Mytilus edulis: one gene and its partner. The protein of the gene in region 1 purifies or fractionates together with the protein of each later gene. This does not show direct contact. Links are inferred from orthologs where the notes say so. Each region holds a gene or a part of one and is shown in the gene's direction. Other genes may lie near its edges. The genes, in order: exosome complex component RRP40-like and DIS3-like exonuclease 1.

Region 1 (8,345 bases):
TTGGCATAATACTAAAGTAAAGTTGTAAAATTTCTGTCTCATTTTGTCTCTTGTGGAGGATTGTCTTATTGGCAATCATACCACATCTTCCTTTTTTTTATATACAAACCTGAAAGTATTGAACAGCAGATGCTTCTTCTGTTCTTTCTGTAAATACCGATTTTAATACACTCCTCATTTGTTTAAATTGAAACTGAAACTGTTTCATGGCTGAAATAAAAGAGTAACAATATTAATCTATAATAAAAGAATAGATCTTAATAATTTTAAAAATATTAGTGTTCTTTGAATATTTTATTATGCATTACTTCCACGTACATGTTTGGTGTTTTCTTCTTCACTGAAAGTTGATGCTGTCAACCATTATCTTTAATATTACTCATAATGAAGAATTTATATTTAATAAATAATACATAGATAAGATGACCGTAATTAAATAGTCATGTACATGCAACAAGATGCCAAGCTCATACTATCATATTTCCATTTTCTGTGAACCATAAAAACAAATTTGGCATACAATTTAAGTTCACATTATCACAAACATGTGTACTAAGTTTCAAGCTGATGTGACCACAATTCCTAATCTAATATCAAAATACATGTACATGAAACCAAACTTTTACCTGACACTCTGACTCAGACTGAAAAACAATCCTTTCTCCTATCATACACAAGTAATAAAATAAAACAAGTATGAAACGTTCCTTTAAAATTACTAATACCTGTTTCAATGAAATGTATTCATTTAAAAACATAACTACATGTACTTACCATGTATAGATGGAAATCTGACCAATGAACTCTTGTCTTCATTTGTAAAAATAAAGCCCTGCTTTCCATATCGAGAGTATTCTGTACTTGATGTTATCGTAATTACATGAAATTTGTTTCCTCCTATAAAATAGAATTAAATGCAATAATAATGCTCAAAGGGAAAAAAATCTGAGCTAAAACATAAAACAGACAAAAGATTGTTTACATCAAATATAAACTTCCTCTGCCTAAATATATTTTTTGTTTCCCACCTCCAAATGTAATGGATTTTTGGTTTTCCTCTTTCAAGTCCTACACTTATTTATTGTCAGGAGGCAAGTAACACACATATAATATTTTTGTGGCCCTTTTAGTCCAGTAAAACAGGTCCAAGAGGCAGGCACCTTTAAAGCATTCATAAGAAAATTTCCCATTGTCAATGTTTTCTTTGATATGTTCAACATTTGCCCTAAGATAGTCCAGGGTTCCAAATAAGCGCCATCCCACTTGCCCATCGCAAGTACAATCTGCTGCGGGCAAGTGAAACCCATCCAGTGTTGTGTGTTTAATAATGCAGAGTATTAATGTATTACAAGATATATGAAATAAATTGATTTTAAACACAAAAGTTATTCATATTCAGTCAATTAAAGAAGTCAAAATATAAATATTCATCTCTGTACTCTCTGCTCCTTCTAGGGATTATATTGTTTCAAGAATAGTGTTATTTGTTTGACAGTCTGTTCCTCAATTTTGTCCCTATCCTCTTTAGGGTTGAAAACCCCCTCTTACAATAACTTTTGATTATACTCCCTTTAACATTTAAAAGCCATGAATAACTCAGTCAGCCACTTGTCATTAGAACCAGAAACATGGTGCTTGCTGTTATCACTTGCTAAAACTTTAGCTTGGTTGGGATTAGGAGAAGCAATGACATCTGCTTATACTGACAGTGTACAGGAAGGTGTATTCCCCCTTTCATTAGAAGTCATTGGGCTAAAATAAACTACTACTTCCATCATCTGCCTTTAGCTTAGAAGTCACACCTTTATTATTTGCAGAGAACATGTTCATTCAGAATAAATAAAATCGAATATGGTTTAGATATTTGGTATACAACTTTTTAAAACAAATATATTTTAATGAACAGGCTACAGCTGACCAGTTTCCGTAGTTTGACATTACGCTTCCATGTGTATTATTGTTAAAACCTATCTTTGGCAGGTAGATATAATCGAAACTTTACAAACTCGATAAAGTTAAGAGCATTGAAATTATTTACTAGTGACATTATACAGAAGCTGCAGCGAGTCCTTACCCGTGTTGATTGTCACATATTTCCCAACGTACGGTTTTACGATCGATGTTCAATGATCATTTTATTTCTAAAAACACAAGTTTGAAACTAATTTACCTTGCAAGCAACATTTTTTCATTTTCTATTAAAATAAATCGCAGAGTTCACGAAAATGGTCAGTCCTGTCGGTCAAAATGAGGCCCAGACCAGTATTTTGAAAGCTAGTGCCGGTCCTGATGACCGATGTAAAAATGACCGTTGCAGTGTCTTTTTTATCAGTAATTAGTTGTACCGCAATACGTATTTACCTCGGTCATCAGATGTACCTGCTGGTAATTTCCGGTACTGGTTTCCTGTTATAAACAAACGGAAACCTACGGAAACCAAAGCACCGATCTACATGTGGCTTGCTAAATTTGTTCATTAAGCCATCCCAGGCAAACAATCGATGATTGAACCCTTTAATGGAGATAACAAATACTGAGAAATTGATTCAGATGATGAAATGGATAGTAAAGATGACTTTAAATAAGACCAATCAGAAGAAAAGAATCAGTTATTCATTGTTTATTTGCCGGTGGCTGTGAAAAATCAAACTAACAATAATAAAGTTATTTTAGATAAAATATGTTATTATTTTTATTTTAGGACTGGCTAAAATTTTGTAGGACTGACAAATAATCTTGCTTTATCGGTCCCATGACCGACGGGTCTCTGAAATCGTAACCTTAATTAAAGTTTATTTTAACTTTTTCAACTACAAATACTCTCATTCATAATTTTCATCGTAAATATCTTTAGCAATGTGTATTCAAATTTGTCACGTGTTATCAGCACGTTCATTGGTCGTGTTTAAATAGATTCTTCTTCTCGACCAATGAAAAAATCCGTTATTCAAATGGTCAAGTGATCACACACATGATGCGTAAATACAATGTATTTGCCATCTATTTCTTCAATTTCTGCACTGAAGTTTTTAAATTTTAAATTTTCTTCTACAAATACATTTCTTCTTGATGATCATTTACGCTAGTACATGATAACATAGTCCGATAAGGCCGAGATAAGCGTGGCTCAGGGAATCAAATATTAAGGGACAACGGCCAATTAAGACGCTGCAATCTACAAAAATATTACGAAGGCGCTGCCGCACCACAGCGTCCCATCGGCCTGGGGAGAACACTGCCATCACATAGTTGTCTGCCAGGTAAGTTGAAATATTTGGTTTGTGTATAACTATGTCAGAAATTCATTTCTCCAAGGTATATGTATTACCTATTTTTATTTTCTAAATTCAATATTTGATTCATATGCGCATGCAGAAAAATTGTAAACATTGTGTCCCCCAAATAATTATATTGGTCAATTTCTATGTGTTAGCCAAAGGCAGGGCCCATAGACTCTGTAGGCAAATGAACTCGGGGCGAACTAACCAAGGGTGAACATGTATTTACTAATTAGAGCGATCGAACCTAAAAATGTGTAAGGTTAAAGGTTACGGTGGTGCTTCCTGGTAAACAATATTTGTGAACTCCTGCATACAATAAACAAGTTCCCCTCAATCAAGACCTAGTTCCCTTCAGACTTCAAGTAAATTATTAATATAGACAGGAAAATAGGCAAAATCAAACATAAAAAATAACGTTTTTATTCTAAGACGTCATAAAATAATCAACACCTTTTTTATCAGTTGCATCTTAAGAAAAAAACGATCTACTATAATCCATGAATAAGGTCTTCTTATTGAAAAGTTCCAATCAGTGATGCCGCATTATTTCAACGTAAACGATTTATTAATGCTTCGCTATTTCAACGTAAATGCGACCGATATGACATGGATTTTCGAACAATGAAAAATAACTCATTATGAGAATCTTGTTCATACGTTAGTACTAAGCTTAGAAAAGTTATACCTTTAAACAATGTTAATGTTACACAATCTGTTTGTCGTGCCAGTTCAAGTTTGACGGGTTCATCTGTTAAATGTACAAATCTTTCGTCGTCCGAAAGGATGGACACTTGCACGTTGTCATAAGACGACGCCATCTTTCATTCAAACGGAGGCAAATCTTACCTAAAGTTCATATCCGTAAAGTTCAATCACATTTTTATTCGAAAGATTAAAATTAACCTTACTTTAAAATTACAAAATAGACAAAAAAGATGGTTGTACGATTGTTTTATTTGGCTTAATTTTCATGTTATTTTTAAATTTTCTACAATATCGTAATGTTTTACATGTAAACAAACTTTCTGGAAATAGACTTTAGGTTTAAAATGGTGGACCATGCTGGACATGTGTATTTGCCCGGCGAATTAATTTGTAATTTGAAGGAATCAGAGAAAACATCGAAAATTTTAGTTGGACCAGGATTAAGACAAGATGAAGAATCTATAATTGTCACGAAATGCGGCTTACTCCGCTTCAAAGAGCCAAACTTTTATTGGATCGACTCTCATCTAAAACGGGTACATGCTTATCAAAGGGAGATAACTCTTATCTTAAAAAAAAAACAAAAAAACAGAGGGAAATGATCAAGATCTATCAAGTGTTATTGTTGTCAAAGTTTACTAGCATAATTAAATTGGAAAAATGCGAAGGGTTCAGATTTTTTAATTTTAAGGTTCTTGGGAAAATTGACAAATAGTGCCTTAAAATCCTCTCACAGAGACTTCGTGGTGTGAATATTATAATGTTTTATGTCCCCTTTTTTTAAAACTGAGAAAATGGCATTTAAAGTTGGACAGTCTGATATCCAGTCATATAAAACAAGAGCTATGCAAAAAGTATGCGTAATACTAGTTCCAACACATCTGATTAAATTGTCCTTTTCAGAAAGGCACTGGCTACGGTTACATGAAAATGTAACAATAATAAAAATATTATTGTTACATTGGAGACTAATTGCCGGAATGCAAAGTTGGGTGAGGAACCGATTAATTACAAATGTAACGATAATTACTGAGGCTACGGTTACATTACGTTATTGTTACATGAAAAACAGCAATGTACGCTAGATTGATTAAACTTAAATCTTCTATAGTTGTATTGCTTCATTCTTTCATATGTACTAAACAATACTTGTAATTTAATACTGATAAATAATAAAATATTATTATTCAACAAATGGTGTACAACTTGAATAGTTTTACTACGTATTAATGGTTTTGATGTTCTTAAAGATACTACTCAAGATTAGGAGTGTGACTGTCAAAGGCGAAACATATAGTTCAATGGTTTCACTTTATAAAGTATTTAACTGCACACCTACTCTTATTACTGTCATTATACTTTGGACCAATTTTGTTTAAGGTGAAAAATATAAAACTTGGGATGCGTTTTAAACGAAACTGAAACAATATCAAGACATACATTTCATACAGCTTTATAACTTGACGCAAATTGATAATCAAAAGCAAAGTTTGCTAACTGTAACTTAAATACTAAGAAATTCTGTATGTACACGTATCCGCGGAGGACGTAATTTCGTTCATCAAAAATGTGTCGGACTTTAAAAACAACTTACTGGATTTGTAGAAATTGTCATTGTAAATAAAAAAAATTACAGTAAATAAATTGTATGTTATAAATGTATGTAATTAATGTCCTCAACTTATATTATTTAGTACATAATACTAGTCCCATCGTACATTGCTGTTTTTCATGTAACAATAACGCAATGTAACCGTAGCCTCAATAATTATTGTTACATTCGTAATTAAACAGGTCCTTACCCAACCATGCATTCCGACATTTAGTCTCCAATGTAACAATAATATTTTTATTATTGTTACATTTCCATGTAACCGTAGCCAGTGCCTTTCAGAAATCTGATAATGTATATATTATTTCGGCAATTTCATATTTCAAGTTTGGAGATAGTACATTTTAATCTTGTGATAAGTAAAGTTGAAAGAATTAAAATGGTATTGGACATAAAACATTATAATATTATTACTGGGCAATGTATATGCCATTAAAATTGAATAAAATCGGCAGTAGAAACAAAGGCCATACACAATCTTGTTGGTTAAAATAGTGTCTTATGTTTTCTTTGAACTATATAGCTATGCCTGCAAGGCAAACTGGTCGTATAGTTCTTCTGTCTATGCGTCTGTCCTTGCAAGGTTAAGGTTCACGTTGACTTTGTCTTTCTTAATAGAATTTCAATGTTAAAAAACCAGGTTAAGTTTCAGGTTTAAGTTTTTGATATAAGAGTTATGATATCATCAAGCAGCTTTGTACATAGATAGCTTATGATGTGGACTGTTTGATGCAAAGTTGATGCTTGGGTTGTAATAAGTCAAGACTCATTGACTTTGTCTTTTGTAATAAAAAGTCAATGCTAAAGACCAAGTTAGGGTAAGGCCAGATCAAGTTAATTGATAGATTCTCATCCACCTATAATAAATTGAAAATATTGGGTTGAGTTGGACTCTTATATTTTATTTTTACGTATTTTTATTACAGATTCCAAAGAACTTTGTAAAAATACATAAAAAATATAAACCACGGTACCTAATTGGCTGGAACGGATGGGGATAAGAATGTAAAAATTAATTTGATATGATCTTAAGGTTAAGTCTGTAATGGGTCTGTGTCTGAACAAACTGTTAGTCATTTTAAATACAGATCATTGGCGGGCATGTACATGTAGTGTCATTGGACATTCTTTTTCTAAAAGGACAGTAATAAAATGACACATAATAATTAGACAATGACTTTATGAATATAAAACTAAAGAATTACAAAAATGGGACCTTTACTCCTTATAGGATGCTGATTTATAAACAAATCATAATTAGCACATCATCATAACAGTTGGACATTAAGTTCATGACATGATATGAAAGGGATCTGTATATGTTTCAGCTAAACAAAATGTATATTTTTTGCTATTATTCATTAAAAAGCTGTCACTTGGACCATTTGAAAATTTCTATATTTTGTCAATAATATTAACAACATGTAAAGACTATATTTATGTATGAAAGTGCCATAAAGTCCTATTAAATTATAATGCCCTCATTTCATACTATCTCCATTGGTAAACTTTTGTCATGTGACCCAGAATCCGTCAATTTCATTGGTTTGTACTTAGATCACTATAATTCTGAATACAACATTGTATTTGGAGATATATCATTTTAATACTACTGTTTAGGCAAATTTGAAGATAATTAAGCCTGGTTAAATATATAGGGAGATAGAACATTGCAGCACGAAACTATTGACACCCATAACTCATTTCCACTGTAAAATGGACTTATAACATTATAATATTCACACGACGACTTGTCAAGAGCACAGGCGTTTGCTTGTGATAAAAATACACCTTATCGCTATTTGTCCGCCATTACTGGACATCACACAAGTTTCCCGTAAAATTTTGACGTCATAAAAGAAAATATCTGACGCCACAATGGAAAAGAGATTGTTGTATGACGTCAAAAGTTCAAGCGGGACAGATTCTCGGGTCAAGCGGGAATAGCGATAAGGTGTATTTCCTATATACAATGTACTTTAATATAACCTGATAACACAAGGTACTCAACTCTCAAATTTGGAAAATGTTAGCTGGTCGTGAAATTCTGTTACATGCTGATTCCTCAGTGGTCAACCCTACTAAAACTTGTTATGTCGTAAATCTAATTTGATTTTTCTACATAATGGTGTATAACATGCCTACTTTTGTTGACGGAATCATCTGTAGCAGGCCTACCCAAGTGTGTCGATCATAATTTTTTTCCTCTACTGATGCCAGATTGGAAACACTAAACTTGCAGTAAATGATTAATTATAAAAATTATTTTAAATAATACTGTTAGTTTTTGTCTGCATTGTGGGTCTAGGTGTGACACAGGATTGCTGTTTTTTTTGTAAGCCTGACATGAAAGTCAAATTATTGTGCCGTGAAAATGGGTAATGAAGTCTAGCGGGACACAGGAAATAACATAAAAATGAGAATTGCTTACAATAACATGGTGTAAGCAGGATACGGGAATCTGACAAAATAGTAAGCAGGATCCATATATGGCCTTCAACTATGATCAAAGCCCACACTGCATAGTCAGCTCAAAATTACAAAAGTAAAACAATTCAAACGAGAAAACTAAAGGCCTAATATATGTATCAAAAATGAATGAAAAACAAATATTTTACACATCAACAAACAATGACCGCTGAATTCCAGGATCCTGACTTGGGACAGGCTTATACATAGGAATGCTTGAAAGGTGTCAAAGCAAAAACATATAAAAATCTTGTGTGTCAAAACCCTTTTAGTCCAAA
Region 2 (8,665 bases), about 88 Mb from region 1:
AGTAATATTGGTCATAACATAGTATTAAAAATGGATAACATGAAGAACAGACAGAACGGCCAGACAAAAAAAATTTTGTCCGTAAAGTATTTTTTTTTCCCTTGAATTAAAATGTTGAGAACACTTATCAATAACCGATTAAAGATTCCATGTTCACAGGCTTGTCATATAAAAAAAAAGTATGAATAGTGCTTGGAAAGAAGGAAAAACAATTTATTTGTAGGAAAATCATTGATTTAAATAACTGTCCAGCTCAAGTTTGAAAAAAAGAAGAGAAACCGATAGAAATTCATTTTTATGCCCCATTTATGGGCATTATGTTTTCTGATCTGTGCTTCCGTCTGTTCGTTCGTCCGTCCGTCTGTCCGTCCGTTCGTCCCACTTCAGGTTAAAGTTTTTGGTCGAGGTAGTTTTTGATGAAGTTGAAGTCCAATCAACTTGAAACTTAGTACACCTGTTCCTTATGATATGATCTTTCTAATTTTAATGCCAAATTAGAGGTTTTACCCCATTTTCACGGTCCAATGAACATAGAAAATGATAGTTCGGATGGGGCCTCCGTTTACTTAGGACACATTCTTGTTTTAACAAGAAAACGTTGACTGCTGTACCCCTATTTTTGATATTTTCACCTATCAATGTAGCACAATACAAAGATTTTTTTACGTCCAATCTCCAACCTTTAAAATGCTGTTACTTTCTAAAGACTGCATATAAATTAATAAAGGAGGTATATATATAGACAGAAAAAGGTTAATCGTTAAAAAGAAATGCAATATTTTTGTTATGCAATCAATATGTAATCAATTATTATACAATTAATGGCAAAATCTTGGTCAGTTTACTTGAATGAATTTAGCTCTATCATCTCTATAACTATTCAGGAAATTTTAACGAAATCTTAATCAAAACAACAGGAGCTACAAAAGGGTGTTTCAAATTATGGCTAAAATATTCCATTCTCTCATAAATCTCTAATTAGTGTAATCATCCTTACCACATAAAAGTAGATAATATTTGATTAGGTGTAAAATGTGATCTATACATTCTATCCAAAATCTGAGACACTCTTTTTTAGATAATGGCTCTAGGAACAACATATGATAAAATCAACCCTCCCGGGATATCCATGAAGAAGCTAATTTCAATTGAAAGTGGAAATTTCTTGTAACATTTTGTAGACACAGTTAACATTATAATTGATTACATAATTGTTGTATAATACTAACAAATGCATTAATTTGAAAGACTAATCTGTTAGCTATTCATAAATACCACTTTTATAAATTTCCAACCATTATAAAGAAAGTTACAGCATTTTAAAACTGGTGAATTGGAGGTATAAAATCTGTGTATTGTGCTACCTTAATTATGTCTGTTTGTTTTGTTCACACATCGTTGACAACATAGTGGAATGGAATGCGACTATCATACAAACGAGAGGTTTAGCTAGATATAAAATCAGGTTTAATCCACCATTTTCTACTTAAGAAAATGCCTGTACTAAGTCAGGAATATGACAGTTGTTGTCTATTCGATTGATGTGTTTGATCTTTTGATTTTGACATTTGAACATGGACTTTCCGTTTTGAATTTTTCGTGTTCAGAGTTCAGTATTTTTATTATTTTACTTATTACTTTTAAATGAATACTCGATGTAAATATGATTTGAGCTCGCTATTCGCAACTTTGAGTGATAGCCCACTTAAATTTAAAAGTCCGATCACGAGTTATAAAAATGAAGAAACGTCTAAGTTTTCGATTATAACCCTTGCCTCATATACACAAAAGATTCATTTAAAGTCTGGTATGAATATAACAGTACAAAATAGTAAGCTCTGTATCCTCAAGATTTATTTTTAAACAGGCATACATATAATAAACACAGGGCAGACATAAAAAAACAGAAAGCACAGCAAGCATAACTTAATGATCTATACTGTAATAAAAGCACAGCAAGCATAAGATTATGATCTATACTGTTATGAAAGCACGGTAAATCATAAACAAATCAAAGCATACAAAAGCAAACATAAAATGGAAATGAATTTATAAAGGTTCTTCTGCTCATGTTGACATATCTGTCAACCTTATCCAGCTGGTAATTTTCTGATATAAAGTTTTGATTATCCTATTATAGATTTCAAGATAATACGCAAAAAATACAAACAAAATTATCATAAAAGGACAATAACTCCATTGATGAGTCGACGGATGACTTCGGCTATAAAATTATGGCTTAATTATTTGTGGATCCTGTCTTGCTGATCATTTGTCTTATTCAATGTTTCTATCTATCTAATACAGTTTTCAAGATAATAGGCAAAAATTAGAAAATCATTTTTAAAGGTCAATAATTCAAATAGAGAAACGACTATCAATTGGGGTCATGTTGACTTATCTACAGATCTATTACTGCTGATAATTTTTGCTATTTAAAGTATTTATCTATTTGATATTGTTTTTAAGATATTATGCAAAAACACAAAACAAAAAATGTGTAAAGTCGTCATTATAGGACAATCCTCTAATAAGGAGTGACTTATATATTTTGGCCGTGTTGAATTATTTGTAAGTCTTGTCTTGCTGATCATTTTTGTTTTTCAAAGTGCCTGTCTATATCGATCTATTGCAATTTTCGAGATAATAGCCAAAAAAAAATAAAACAAATTCATCATCTAAAGGCGATACTTCCTACAACATGACAAGAATTCGTCTGACAGTTTTGACACAAATAAATAGAATGTAGAGCCCAACGTTCTAAACATTTATGACCTCTTCAGATTTTCTCTATTCATATCTGTTTTCAAAAAAATAAGCAAGATAAATTGCATTTTATCCCTGTTGTTCTATTTTTAGCCATGTCGGCCATCTTGATTATCTGTCGGCGACATCGGACAAATCGACCATATGATGATTGTGGCCAAGTTTGGTTTAACTTGGCCTATAGCAGTTCGATTTTTGTAAAAGTGACGGAGGACGACGGACGACGGAAGACGACGGACGACAGACGACGGACGCCAAGTAATGAGAATTTAAGCTGACAGGTGAGCTAATAATGTTGTGCTACTTTGCATCTTCTCCGATAGCCCTGAACAAGGGGCTTAACATGCAAAGTTCATTAACACTTTTAGATATAAAAAAAAATCTTTTAAATATGAGAACTGTCTATAATTTCGGTACTGACATGATTGAACAAACTTCAGTGGCGGATCCAGCCATTTTAAAAAGGGGGGTAGGGGGGTTCCCAACCCAGAGTAAAGGAGGGGTTCCAACTATATGCTCCCATTCAAATGCATTGATCGTCCAAAAAAGAGGGGTTCCAACCCCCGGACACCCCCCTCCCCCTGGATCCGCCAATGAACTTTACTAAAATTGTCCGTTTATAAATTTTGAAATTCTTAAGAAATTAAGGTTTCAAATCCCTCAGGCAAAGTTTGCTTTAGATGAATTGGCTATTTATTTTAGGTAATTTTGACATATAGCTCTTCAACGGTTTCGTTACTTGTACATCTTCGGATTTCAAATGTTTGACTTTGAGCGTTTCTGATGAAGGTAAATCCAGAAAAGCGCTTCGGACGCAAGAAATTATTAAGCGTGTTGCTTTCATTTTTTTTTTTTTTTTTCATTATCACACCTACATAAGGGACCGGTCATTATTTATCTCCAGGGGGAGGGGGCGGCAAAATGTAATTAAATTTGAAAGGATAAAATATGATTGCCCCTTTTCAAAATGTGTTAAAAAAGTTAAACCCTCCTCTCTTTACTACATATGCACCATCTCGTCAAACTCAACACTAATTGGAGTTTAAGTTGTTTACTAGTATTTGATTATGATTTTGTCATTTACAGTTTTAAAGAGTAAAAATTTGAACTTTGTTTGATATACTGAGCATTACTTTTAATTGTATTCATATAGAATGTCAGATGTCTTATTCAAAATTAGAGATGCTGAAATCAGGAACATATATATACTGTTCCCAGCTGAAATGAAGCCAGTCCTGGTCTTTCAATAATTTCTTGTATAAATTAAGTGATTCATTTCAAAACTGTTGCCTTCCACTCTGGTAGAAGACGGAGGGTCTTCGACAATGAACAAATCATTCATATATTTATTTATATTCTACATGAGGTATATTTGAGATACGGAATAAGAATAAGAAGAAAATGCTTTGAAAAAGTCTATATAGAATATTTTGTGTTCACCTAAAACAACAGTTTGTAAAATATACGAGTTCATCTTGAAACATAAAAATGGGGTCCCCTTCAAAAAAGCAAAGTCTATGTTTGCTGTGGTGAAACCAGGATTATGAAACCAATTTTGTAGTCTCTATTCCTAGTTTCTTAGTCCTATAACATCTCAGAAAAATATAAGAAAATTGACTAATTTTGCACATTTTTTGGCAATATTTATTAGTCACTTGACAATATAACTAGCTCCGTCAAAGAGTAAAGTAAAATAGTAAAGTAAAGTGACTAGTTTTACTGATAGTGACAGTTTGACATTTGTGAAAGAGTTAAACTAGACAAGTTAGCTCTAAAGGGCCCAAACAACTATTCATTAATAGTCTATGGTCATGGTATATGGCGATCAATGCATATATGGCCAAACAAATTATGACCCCCCCCCCCCCCCTTACTTGAGCAACCTGAAAAAGAATGACCCCCCTTTATCAGATCTAATTTTCTCATTACCCACTACTTTTTTGCCGCCCCACTGAAGATAAATAATTACTGGTCCCTAATATCAATTTCATGATTAAATACCACTTTGGTTTCTTCGAATAGAGTGCTCCCGTGAAGGAGTAAACATCCGCGCAACAAATCTTGTATTAACAAAACAAAACTGACATTTCTGTCCCCTATGCACAAAATGTACCCCAAAGTTTTTTTTTTTAAAGTGAGTATAGTCATATTGCATATGCATTGTAGTATTAACCAGAAGGAGGAGGTTAAACAACTAAAGTGAACTATTTGATTCTTTAGTTTCAGGTTCAAGACAAAAGCACAGGCACTTGTTTCATGTGATGGTAAAGACCCTCTTTACTTTTGGCCCTTTAAAATCTTAAGAAAACAAACAAGTGCCAGTACTTAAAAGTAACCATATCTGAAATTATATGCTTCACAAATTGATACGCCTATATTATACTATCATCTAACTTGCTATGGTTAAACTGAAAAGAAGGAGATGTTCACGAGATGATTGCCTCTGGCTCTGAGACAACTATCCACCAGAGTCCACATGAACTGTAGATCACTGTACATGTACATGTGTGCTGCCATACAACCTCCATTTTTATCAAAAGCTCTAAGCATATCATAAGACATGTACATGTAAGACAAGGAAACCAAATGCCCAATTATTGACAAGACAACAATAAAGAAAAACAGATACATCAAGTCTCATACAGTTAGCGTAAGACTCACAAATGTGACTCACATGTTTTCATACATATTTGACAGCATTTTCCTTTGATCTATTGTTTTAAGGTAAAAATTGCATAATATGGGACTGACTTGATATCTAAATGTTCCAAAATTGATCACTTTTTCAGTCTTCACGATGAACTGCTAAATCTACAGGCCCTGGGCTGCCACTCAGCGTGAAGACTGCTTTTTTTGATACATGTACACAAAATATAGTGCATTAACCATAACATTCTATAAATACTATAAATCATGAACATTTCCAGAAATTTATCCACGAGATATATGCTCAGATATTCAAGACACAAAATGATGTTTCACTTGTCAAGAAAATTACATAACGTTTGCAAGGTGCAGGAATCTAAAATCTGTTCTAAAAATATAAATTATGTCATTGTTAACATCATCTTTAAAAATTGGAGTCATCTTCCTTTGTCTAGAATAGCTGTTTTAAATCAACAACAACCAATGCAATATTTATTTTTACTTCCCACTGATAAATTAAAGCAATCTTTACGGTTCAGTGCTTTGAAGCAATTTGATTTCTCTATTTTTCATGCTTTTTTCACATTTCTTGAGCAGTGTGAGAAAAATATTTCTCCTCACTAGTGAAATATCTGTTCTCTGCAATTGATTGGTCATTACATAACTTAATTGTGACATCAAATTTTCTTGGTTTCTTCGATTTTGAATTATCCTTTTGTCACATCATGAAATAATTCAATGTTCAAGGGTATTTTGAAATAAAAGATTATCTCAGCTAACAATGATTATCCTGAACAAATGAATTTCAGGTCAACAAGATAGTTCTAAATAATAAAAGGTTTTTCATATTTTATTTTTGTTCTTCAGGATAAAGTTAATTTGATAATGTAGACAGCCTAAAAATGGTCATAGAAAATAAAGCAGAGTCTCTAGATAAAGACAATCGTTATTTGAGGTTGAAGAACAGCCAGGGGAAGAGTGTCAGTATTGTAAGAGAAGTCTATAGGAGAGAAAATATACCATGTCAGAGTAGTTTATGTCTTGGAAATTGCAATGTGGGAATAGGTGAGATTTTAAATAAATGGTAAACAAATCAAAGGTATTGATGAGGGAGATGAAAATATCTTACATATATGTAAATCTTTTCAGACAAACTGTGATTATAAAAATAAAATGAGATTGTGGTTTTGTATGTTGCTTCTTTATTGCCTGATAAGATTTATTAGTACACATGTACCACTATTGTGTCTTACAGCTAAAATGAAGGGTTTTTTTGTCTCTACTTTTCATTATTTTAATTGAATTGCATAATCTTGGATAAAGTTTTGCATGGTGAATACTGAAAATTGATTGATACTTTTGCTGTTTCATATTGTATTGTCTTAAGCATATATATATATATATAGTTGCTTTACATGTCATGCATGTAGTCATATTCTGCATAGAATTTTTTTTATATTTATGTTACACTTTAAAAAATCTCTGTAGATATTATTTTATTGGGAAATGGCAATGCAGCCTGGTATGGTCTTCAAACAGATTTAAGTACCTAAAACTTAAAAGAATTTGATACTTGATTAAAACCTATAATCATATTTAGTTTAATATTAATCATGCTATTAATGTAAACAAAACTGGGAACTCTTTGCAGATGACTCTGATTTGCTACCTTCAAACGTGACACACTATATAATCCCAGATTGTCAAGTTGCCAGAGAATACCTTGAAGTTTTTGAAGCACCAGAAATTCATGGAATAATCTTTACACAGACAGCTGAACACTGTGTAAGTTTAGAAATATTTTTTGAAAATAATTGAACTTTGACAATTCTTTAGCATTTGTTTGAAATAAATGGTAATCAATGTTTAAGCTCTTTGTTTACAAACGCTCTTTTTCTCATACTGTAATTTATTTTATACTGTAACTATGTTATTTGTGCAGTTTTTTTGTTTGACTATACAAGCATCATTGATATACTTTCATTGATCATATAAATAAAATTGAGAATGGAAATGGGGAATGTGTCAAAGAGACAACAACCCGACCAAATAAAAAACAACAGCAGAGGGTCACCAACAGGTCTTCAATGTAGCGAGAAACTCCCGCACCCGGAGGCGTCCTTCAGCTGGCCCCTAAACAAATATATACTAGTCCAGTGATAATGAACGCCATACTAATTTCCAAATTGTACAAAGACTTGTTTGTGAAATTGCATTTGTTTCAATACACATTTATGACATTCAAGGAATTCAGATTTACAGATTTTGTACCTTTTTTGTCCAAAAATATTCTTCTGATCAATCTTATACTTTGTATAAAATGGACTTCCAATATCTTTATCTGTCTTGAATTTTGATTGTGATGTTTGATTGTTGTTTCATTGACTTTTACCCAAAATCTCCTTAAAAACACCTACCTTGTCTTGGGTATTACTTTCATTATTACACATCATGATAACAATGCTAGTATTTCAAGACATTTACATTTTTATGGCCCTGTAAGGAAGTTGTCGGTGCCATACAGTTTTACCCTTGTTCGTAATTCCGAAATTACGTAATTCTGTAATTCTGAAATTCCGTAATTCCGAAATTCTGTAATTCCGTCATTCTGCAACAAACCATTATACAGAGGTTTTTTTCTAAACGCCTTCAGATATTGGGCTGATTTTTGATATGTGAGTTAACCATGATGAGTTACAGATTAAGTTAAAGTTTCGTTCCGCTCCGCTAATTTTTGCCGAAATTACGGGCTTTGGACTTTGATAAATTGTTGAAAATCACAGTTATATAGACTTTTTTCTAAACTCTTTCAGATGTTGGGATGATTTTTGGCATGTGAGTTAAACAAAGATGAGTTACAAATCAAGTCTAAGTTTTGTTCCGCTCGGCTAATTTTTACAGCAATTACGGGCTATGGAATTGTTAAAAATCACAGTTGTAAAAGACTTTTTTTGTAAACGCTTTCAGATATTGGGCTGATTTTTGGTATGTTAGTTATTCATGATGAGTTACAGATCAAGTTTATTTGGTAAAATTAAGGGTTTACAACTTTGAAAATTGTTGAAAATCACAGTTATACAGACTTTTTTCTATACGCTTCCACATTTTGAGCTGATTTTTTATATGTGAGACTTCCATCATGTTTGTGTCCGAATGTGTTATTGAAATTGCAGATTTTCAACTATTTGAGAGGGGGCCATTTGTGTTGCTTTGACACATCTAGTTATGATATAAATTTTCATCAGAAACCACT

The links.
Region 2: the proteins of exosome complex component RRP40-like (region 1) and DIS3-like exonuclease 1 purify together in Homo sapiens (affinity purification with mass spectrometry; 6 studies listed by BioGRID and IntAct, counting the BioPlex papers as one, with this or other methods). This does not show direct contact. The link is inferred for Mytilus edulis from reciprocal best matches to the Homo sapiens genes EXOSC3 and DIS3L.

The regions. Positions count from the first base shown.
Region 1 is NC_092344.1:5,614,625-5,622,969, reverse strand, and holds the start of exosome complex component RRP40-like, read left to right. Parts: upstream 1-4,330; coding exon 4,331-4,522; intron 4,523-8,345. Other genes in the region: histone-arginine methyltransferase CARMER-like, read right to left, coding at 110-210, 775-897, 3,967-4,099. UniProt on the Homo sapiens protein: Non-catalytic component of the RNA exosome complex which has 3'->5' exoribonuclease activity and participates in a multitude of cellular RNA processing and degradation events.
Region 2 is NC_092344.1:93,296,953-93,305,617, forward strand, and holds the start of DIS3-like exonuclease 1, read left to right. Parts: upstream 1-4,848; 5' UTR 4,849-4,900; intron 4,901-6,279; 5' UTR 6,280-6,314; coding exon 6,315-6,477; intron 6,478-7,063; coding exon 7,064-7,197; intron 7,198-8,665. UniProt on the Homo sapiens protein: Catalytic component of the RNA exosome complex which has 3'->5' exoribonuclease activity and participates in a multitude of cellular RNA processing and degradation events.